Mus musculus: one gene and its partner. The protein of the gene in region 1 interacts with the protein of each later gene in a pairwise test. Links are inferred from orthologs where the notes say so. Each region holds a gene or a part of one and is shown on either strand. Other genes may lie near its edges.

Region 1 (3,742 bases):
CCGACTTCCAGTCCCACCCGACTGAGTATCTGGCCCTCTCTTAGACAGGAACCTGCCTGTCTGACTTGATGCTTCATTTAGCATCCCTCTGTCACAGCCCAGCCGCTCACCACATAGCAGCTCTCACAATATGCCCGCCTCTCCACAGCATAGAAGTGCTGGCCCCGGAGCTGGGCCCGACAGGTAGAACACACAAAGCAACCAATATGGAAGACACGGTCCAGGGCCACAACCCCAGCTCCATCGCCCACCACATCTTCGCCACAGCCACCACACCGACCTGAGGACAGAGAGGAACGAGATCAGCCTCCACAGACCCACAACAGCAGATCCTCTGTCTCCTCCCTGTCTCCACCCTATCCAGCAGTCAGCTCACCAAAGTACTCCCCACTGGGAGGGTGGCTCATGTCATGCACCAGTTTCTTGGTCAGTCTCTCCAGTTCCTCTTCAGGAGGTTGGCCTAAGGGGCCCTAGAGTGAGAATTGGGGCTTTGAGGCGCTGCCTATAGTCTCAGACACCATAAATAACTCATACAGTCAGGAACCCCAAAATCTCAGAGGACATCTCTCAGAAGCTGATAGGGGGAAAGGAAGCCCCTTCCCTTTGGACATCTTGATCCTTGACCTCTGAGTACCTTAAAACTGGGATTGACTTATGCACTTATTTATATTTGAGACAGTGTCTCATATAGCCTAGGCTGGCCTGGAACCCATTATGTGCGTCAAATATGACCTTAATTTACTGATTCTCCTGCCTCTACCTCCCCCGCACTTGGTTTATACAGTGCTGGGTCTAGAACCTTGGGATTCCTGCATACTAAGCAAGCACTCTACCAACATCTCCTAAAAACAGTATCTTAAGTACTCCTCGGCCTCCACGCCACCTAATCAATGCCCAGTTACTTCCGGTGACCACAAACCACAGTGCCCAGCCCCAGCTTACCTGAGGCTCATGCCCACCTCCTCTCCCTCCTCCTGCAGGGATATGTACTCCAGAAGGTCCCTCCGGAACCCCCGGTCCTGGCTCTCGGTGGCTCCTATAGCCAGCCCCCCAGACTTCACCACGACCTGTCAGAGGAAAGTGGGGGCCTGGAAGAGGCCCAGAGGCCTGAGAGGCCCCTCGCCTGGGCAGTCCACAGCCTCTCACAGGTTGAGCCACCTTCACTTGTACAGGGAAAGCAGGGCCAGCTGGCGTGCTCGCGGTAGCATAGGAGGCTGGGGTAGGTCCACCATAGTGGGATGCTGGGAGCATCGGGGTTGGAACAGCACCTCCACTGGGCTTCAGGGAGCCTCCGCGGTAAGCATGGGGTGGGGGAGCCTCAAAAGCCTGGGAAGACAAGCAATGCAGAAACAGTAAAGCCAGACCCAAGATCCATGCGTGCCAGGTGGGAACCCCAGGGTAGCAATGACTTCTGACAAGTTCCCATGGCCTAGGCCTGCCAAGGAGGAAGTGCGTGATTCCTTGAACCAGGTGTTTATTAGTTGCAAAGAGGGTAGGTGGGCAGTGAAGAGGGTGGACTGAGGCTGAGAAGCTAGGGCAGGGAACTGGCTGAGGATGGGGAAGCAGAGACAGAACACAGGAAGTCACCTGTCTGTCTGGCCGCCTAGGTGCATGACTGCGACCCCCGTCCAGATCAGCCAACATGCTGGTGAGCGAATCTATCTCAGCATCCAGACTGCCAGGGCGGATGATCCCCCTGTCTGGAGGGAGCCCCTGAGACAGAGGGAAAGGAGGAAGAACAAATGCTGATGACACCCCCGACCTAGACTTCTTTCACCTTGACCCTGAGAGACCCTACCCTCATCTCCACTTCTCACCTGCAGGCGCTGGGGTGTTCCATGGGATCCCACCCAAGTAGGCCCCCGATCTTCCGGTACCCCCGGAGGCTGATAACAGTGTTCAGGCGGGAGGGGGCAAAAGTTGACCCTGGGGTGAGGCTGGAGTGCTAAAGGGAGAGACAGGAGGTGGGACTGGAGAAGGGTACCTCGGTAGAGCTGCCCTTCTAAGGGTGGCTCTCCTTCTTCACATTCCCGGGAGTCTGGGAATCAACCAAGAGTCAGGGAAAGTTGCACAAGAGCTGGGGCCTCTGGTTTGGGAAAGGGACAGCAGGAAGCAGGCAGGCAAGGGAGAAAAGGTGAAGGAAGGTGGCCAGCGGCTCTTCTGCTACTCCGGCGTGTGTGAGAGAGGAACACTTACTTGCTCCGTGGGCCGTTGGCGGGCCCAGGGCGCCTCTGGGCAGCGATCTCCCCTGAGGGAGTCTGGAGGGTTCTGGCTGCTTCGGGGGAAGCCAGGTGGGCCCGGACATGGTCTGGAATAGGGTTACTCCACTCCAGACAGAGGTCAGGGTCCCCACAAGCTCAGAGCCTGGAGCTCGGAGCCTTGGGCCCTTTCCCTCCCTTACTGTCCCACGCCCCGTTTGGGACTCCCGCAAAGAAACTTTTTCTGGCTTTTTTTCCTCCCTTCCTCCCCAATTTTGGAGACGACCACGCCCCCTGACGTCACCACATTCCAGGGGAGGGTCACGTGGCCCCAAGCCTTATTCTACAATCCTTCCCCTCTCTGGCCCCCTCCTGTTAAGAGAAGACCGCCCTCCTCCGGAGCCAAGCTGCAGGGTGGGCTGCAGGCCGCTCTGAGAGGCTCTGGCCCAGCAATTCTCTCGGATCCCTGCCCCAGTCTTGCACGTGGCAGCCTCTCGGCCCAGGCTCTGAACGCATCTGTCTCCACCCCCTCACGGTTCTCTCCCTTCCCACCCGGCTGCCTCTCACCTACCCACCAGCAGTGCTCCACCAGCCCATAGTGTTTCGGTCTTTTATTTATGGTCAGTAGTTAGAAAAATAAAACAAAACACAAACATCACCACCCAAGGAAGTCGGGGAGAGGGAGGCGGTGCGTCTGTGGCCAGGATGGGGACACTGAGGTAGCCTAGAGTCACAGAAGAGGCCAGCCCCTCTGGTCAAGGCACCAGTGAAGGAAGCGGAGGAAGACCAGGGACAGGGCCGCAATGTCCTCCCCTACAATGGGGCAGCCACCTAGAATTAGTGTACTATGTCCGTTCCCCCGCCCAAAGGAGACCATGGTCCCCTTAACACATCATCCAAAGGGCAGGGCCCACTTGGGGCGGGGGGAGGGGCGTCCATTGCTCAGAATGAGCCTGGGCCCGCTCTATCCAACCCTGTATGAACAGGCATCAGAGATCAGTGCAGGTTACCGGAGTGACCCCGTGAATAAGAAGGGTGGGACCCAGATCACGGCTCAGGGTCTCCAGCAGTGCCAGGTATCTGGGGTAGCGAGCAGGATCAGCAGGCGGTCGAGGCAGGTACAGGAAGGTAAGGGCTGTGGTGGGTCCCTCCTCCCCATCCCTTCCTTCGGGTCCCCCAGGGCCTCCTACGGTGCCTCGCCCCTGCTGTGCTCGCACCAGGGCATTGGCACTGCAAGCTAGAGCCTCAGCCTCTTCGTCTCCTCGACCACCATTCACAAAGTCCCCTTCCTCCTCCTCAGGCTCGCCAGTCTCTGCCCCTTCACCCCACACCACCTCTTGCACCTCTGCCCGGATCCTGAGTTGACTCAACAGGGCCCGAAGCCTTCCCTCTGCTGCCCCAGGAGCCTCCCTGGGCCCCAAGCACAGGAAGATCCGGAGCCGGGCACTGTGCCAGGCAGGCACCATGCTTAAGATGGTAGCCATCTGCAACAGAAAAAGGCCACAGACGTCCACGTAGCCAGGTCCACCCCGGGGCCTCAGCAG
Region 2 (3,742 bases), on another chromosome or scaffold:
AGATACAGGTGTGGGTAGAATAGCACTGGATACATGAGATACAATTATATAGAGGAATGCACACAGCCTTCTTCCTTCCTTTTCTAACGGACCAAAGGCTATCTCTCCTTTACAGCCCAATTTCCTATCCCCACCAGAGGCAGATAAATCAATCTACTTAATAAGGAAGGAGGAGGGGGAGAGGCTCAGTTACAGCCCAGGATGTGGAATGTCAGATAACAGGAGGGAAGAAAGAGGGATATGAGTTTTATTGCAGGGGTTATTAATTTGATCACTCTTAATGTCCTTGGAGAGTCATTAGTAGGGATGGAATTTATATTAGTTACTCGTTTTGCTTAACGGATTGCTCATCTTTAAGCATGACGTGGCCCTGAATGCAACACACTTCACCAGTACTAACCCAGCAACAGAAAACGAGTGAAGAGATTCTGACCAACTGGCTGGAGAATTGTTCCGAGTCAGGGGTGGCAGGAAGGAAAATGACGGTCCTTTTCTGGCCCTCACCCACCCAAAGACTGGAACGCATGTTTGGGATGGGTTCAACATCCTTGAATATGCAAACTCTAATTTCCGCACTCTTCTGTGTTCGATGACTTATTAGATTGATTGTACGAAGTGAGCTGGGCTTTGTAAGAGTTTTTGCTGAACAATTCCCCTGCCTTGCTACCAACTTGGTTACAGTTGCTTAAATACTGTAGCTATTCCTGCCTCTGTGGCCTCCAGGGCTAAAGTGGGACAAGGCTGGTATTTTTGGTGACGAGGAAATCCTTTTAAGGGAGGTTTGGTGATGACTGAACTGGGACACAGGTCGGAGCAGGGATCCCATCAGCGAACCAGGGGCCATCGGGAGTCTGGTTCTGGGGTCTCCCCATCTCATATCCCTACCTCGCTAGGCGCGGCGGAAGCTTAGAAGTTGCTGCTGACCCTCGACGTTTTCAATGCCTGTTCCCCAGAGGGGGGCACTAGGGAGCCGGCGCCTCAGGAACAGGGACCCACGCGGGAAGGTCGAGCTCGCCCGGTGAGGTCACGGTTGCCATGGCTTCGGGCAGTGACGCGCGTCCGCACGTGACGCGCGGTTGCCATGGCGTCGGGCGCCCGGCGGCGCGGGAGCCCCGCCTCCCGGAGTGACGTCTGTCGGCAACCCCCCTCTTTCGGCCCCCCCGCGCCCCCTCCCCCCCGGCCGGCTCCCCGCGGCCCCGGAGGTTTCACTGCACAACAAGATGGCGGCGGCGGCGGCGAGCGGAGCTGGCGGGGTTGCCGTGGCCGGAGCAGGGGGAGCCGGGCCGGCCGGCCGCCTGCTGCCTCCGCCCGCCGCGGGGCCCCCGGCAGCCCCCGCCGCAGTGCCCCCGGCCGCCGTCCCGGCGCGTCCCACAGCCCCGGCCTCCCGCGGGTCGATGGCCGCTCGCATCGGCTACTACGAGATCGACCGCACCATCGGCAAGGGCAACTTCGCTGTGGTCAAGCGGGCCACGCACCTCGTCACCAAGGCCAAGGTAGTGGCGCTGGGGACCGCGCGGCTGCGGGCTGCGCTGCCCGGGGGGCGTTGCAGCAGGGCGGTGGGGCCAGGGGAGTCCGCGATTCCCCGGGGCTCGGGTCAGGGTCAGCAGTGGGGACCGGTGCTGGCGGGAGAAGGCAGGGACCTCAGAGCGGAGGGGTTCCGGAAGGGGGGGCTCCGGGAACTTAGCAGCTGGACATCGGAGAGGTCCCCAGGGCTGTGCGCAGGGTCGGGGGGGGGGGGTGACTGGAAAGGAGGCGTTGGAACTCTCTGGGGGCCGGCGGACTGCACGCCAGGAAGACTCCGGAACCAGCAATTAGGAAACCATCAGAACGAGGGCAGGGGCATATGAAATGTGGACCACAGGATGGGGGAGACGCGCAAACTGGCTGCCTCAGGCTTCCCAGGACGGCTGGGGCATGGGGCTGAGGGTGTGCGGTGGGGTGCAAGACACCGGGAAGAGAAGGACCTGGCACCTATACCAGAGAAAGGAATCCACGTTTGATTATTTAAGACGGGGAGATGGTGTCAGTTGTAAGCCTGAGGAAGTATACTTGATTATGGGAAGAGTCAGTGAAGAAAGCAGGGAAATAAGGGGGAAAAAAATGGAATGGACCCATGACCAGATGTCCCAAGGCTCAGGGTTCCTGGTGACACTAGCTAACCAAGGGTTAAACAATTTAGGATAAGATGGTTTGCTGGTTATTTTTAGTTGTCAGAGGGTCTGAAATGGTGGGCTTTTTAGAACTCGGGGTGGGCTTTTCAGTAGGGAAGGGAACCGTGGGATTGGCACGACAGAATTCCACTCATTTGGGCCCTTTGGTTCCCAAGGGATTTGAGGAGCTGTAGTAGTGAAACTGGCCAAGGTCAGTTAGGAAACCATGTATGTATACGCATGTAGTATATTTTTTAAAGGACTCAGAGGGTAGCACTTTTACCTATCTTTCTTCATTGAGAGTATCAAGGAAAATCATTCAGTTTTGATGGAAGCCACAAAACCCATTTGAATTCCCAACTCGTCTTTGCTCAATACCTCACTTAAATGGATACTTTTAACGTAGTAGTCATTCCTTATATTTAAAACAGTAGCTTGAGTTTTTCTTCCGCCTGGCTAATGAAAAACCTTTACTACCTAAGCATGCTCCTCCGGGAGACCCAGGACTCCCCTCCCCTCCTCCCCCTGGCCGCTGTTTACCTTAGCCTACCTTGTTTTGGCTTTTATAGCAGTCCCTCCCTGCCAGGACTTATCTGGGCCTCGTATCCTGCTTATTGGCAACCTGAAAGTTCCTTTCCTTGCCTCTCTCTGTCAAAGACTACAAGGGGCCCTTCTTCCGAGGGTGGCGGCGGGCAGAGTGATTGGTCAGTTTCACTTCCTCTGGTGGGACCCCTTCAAGCCTCAAGTCTTCAGAGCCCTGTGACAGACTCAAGTGCGCCCTCCTGTTGCAGTCCCTCCCTCAGGTCCGCAGCTGGAGCCGAAGCCGGCATCTCCTTACCCCCTACAGTGTGTTTACTGTTGGCCTAGTCAAACTTGTGTTTACAAACAGAATGCCTCTGTCCCTTGTTTTCTCTCCCCTGTCTGCTTCTGTGGTTATTTTGCTCTGACCTCTGGGAAATGGACTCCACAAACATAATTGGTTGTCTGGCTACGTTCTCTATGATTTAAAGAAATTTGAATTTTTATATCAAAATATTGATTAAAAAAAATCTATGACAAGCTGGTTTGAGTGTCTTATAAACATAACTGCAAACAGTTGATTCTTGGCTTTATATATAAAAGGGACATTTCTGTTTTCAGTAGTCAGCAAAGCCAGGGCCTAATTATGGTTGGTTTGGTTGCTTTCTAGTGTGTGTGTGTGTGTGTGTGTGTGTGTGTGTGTGTGTGTGTTTCAGTTTCCCCTGAGACCTTGGTATCCTTTAGGACTGCAGCCTTTACAGCACTGGCATGTTTATAGACGGGTGTCACTGTTTATGTTGGTTTTTATCTTTGATCGTTTGTGGTGTGCAGTTATGCAGTTCCTATGTATGGAAATATTCAGACTTGAATGAGGCTGAAATGGCTGGGACAATGAGTTGCATGTGTGGAGGAGACCACACCAGCGTTTGTTTGTGCTTCTGTAGCAATGTGCAGTTTCCTGGCTCCAGCTCCAAGGGCCCTATCTTTCTGCTACTTAAATGACTCTGCTGCGAGTGAAGCTCGATTCACAAGGCGCTGTCACGTGCTCAGAGTGCTCCATGGGCATATTTTGG

Evidence for each region.
Region 2: the proteins of Trip6 (region 1) and Sik3 interact in binary tests that used the Homo sapiens proteins (3 or more experiments, as listed by UniProt). The two-hybrid records come from large-scale screens. The link is inferred for Mus musculus from reciprocal best matches to the Homo sapiens genes TRIP6 and SIK3.

What each region holds. Positions count from the first base shown.
Region 1 is NC_000071.6:137,311,764-137,315,505, forward strand, and holds the start of Trip6 (thyroid receptor-interacting protein 6), read right to left. Parts: upstream 2,479-3,742; 5' UTR 2,306-2,478; coding exon 2,197-2,305; intron 1,946-2,196; coding exon 1,818-1,945; intron 1,714-1,817; coding exon 1,588-1,713; intron 1,327-1,587; coding exon 943-1,326; intron 471-942; coding exon 377-470; intron 281-376; coding exon 111-280; intron 1-110. Other genes in the region: Slc12a9 (solute carrier family 12 member 9), read right to left, coding at 3,188-3,742. UniProt on the Homo sapiens protein: Relays signals from the cell surface to the nucleus to weaken adherens junction and promote actin cytoskeleton reorganization and cell invasiveness. Involved in lysophosphatidic acid-induced cell adhesion and migration.
Region 2 is NC_000075.6:46,011,638-46,015,379, forward strand, and holds the start of Sik3 (serine/threonine-protein kinase SIK3), read left to right. Parts: upstream 1-1,182; 5' UTR 1,183-1,220; coding exon 1,221-1,493; intron 1,494-3,742. UniProt on the Homo sapiens protein: Positive regulator of mTOR signaling that functions by triggering the degradation of DEPTOR, an mTOR inhibitor. Involved in the dynamic regulation of mTOR signaling in chondrocyte differentiation during skeletogenesis.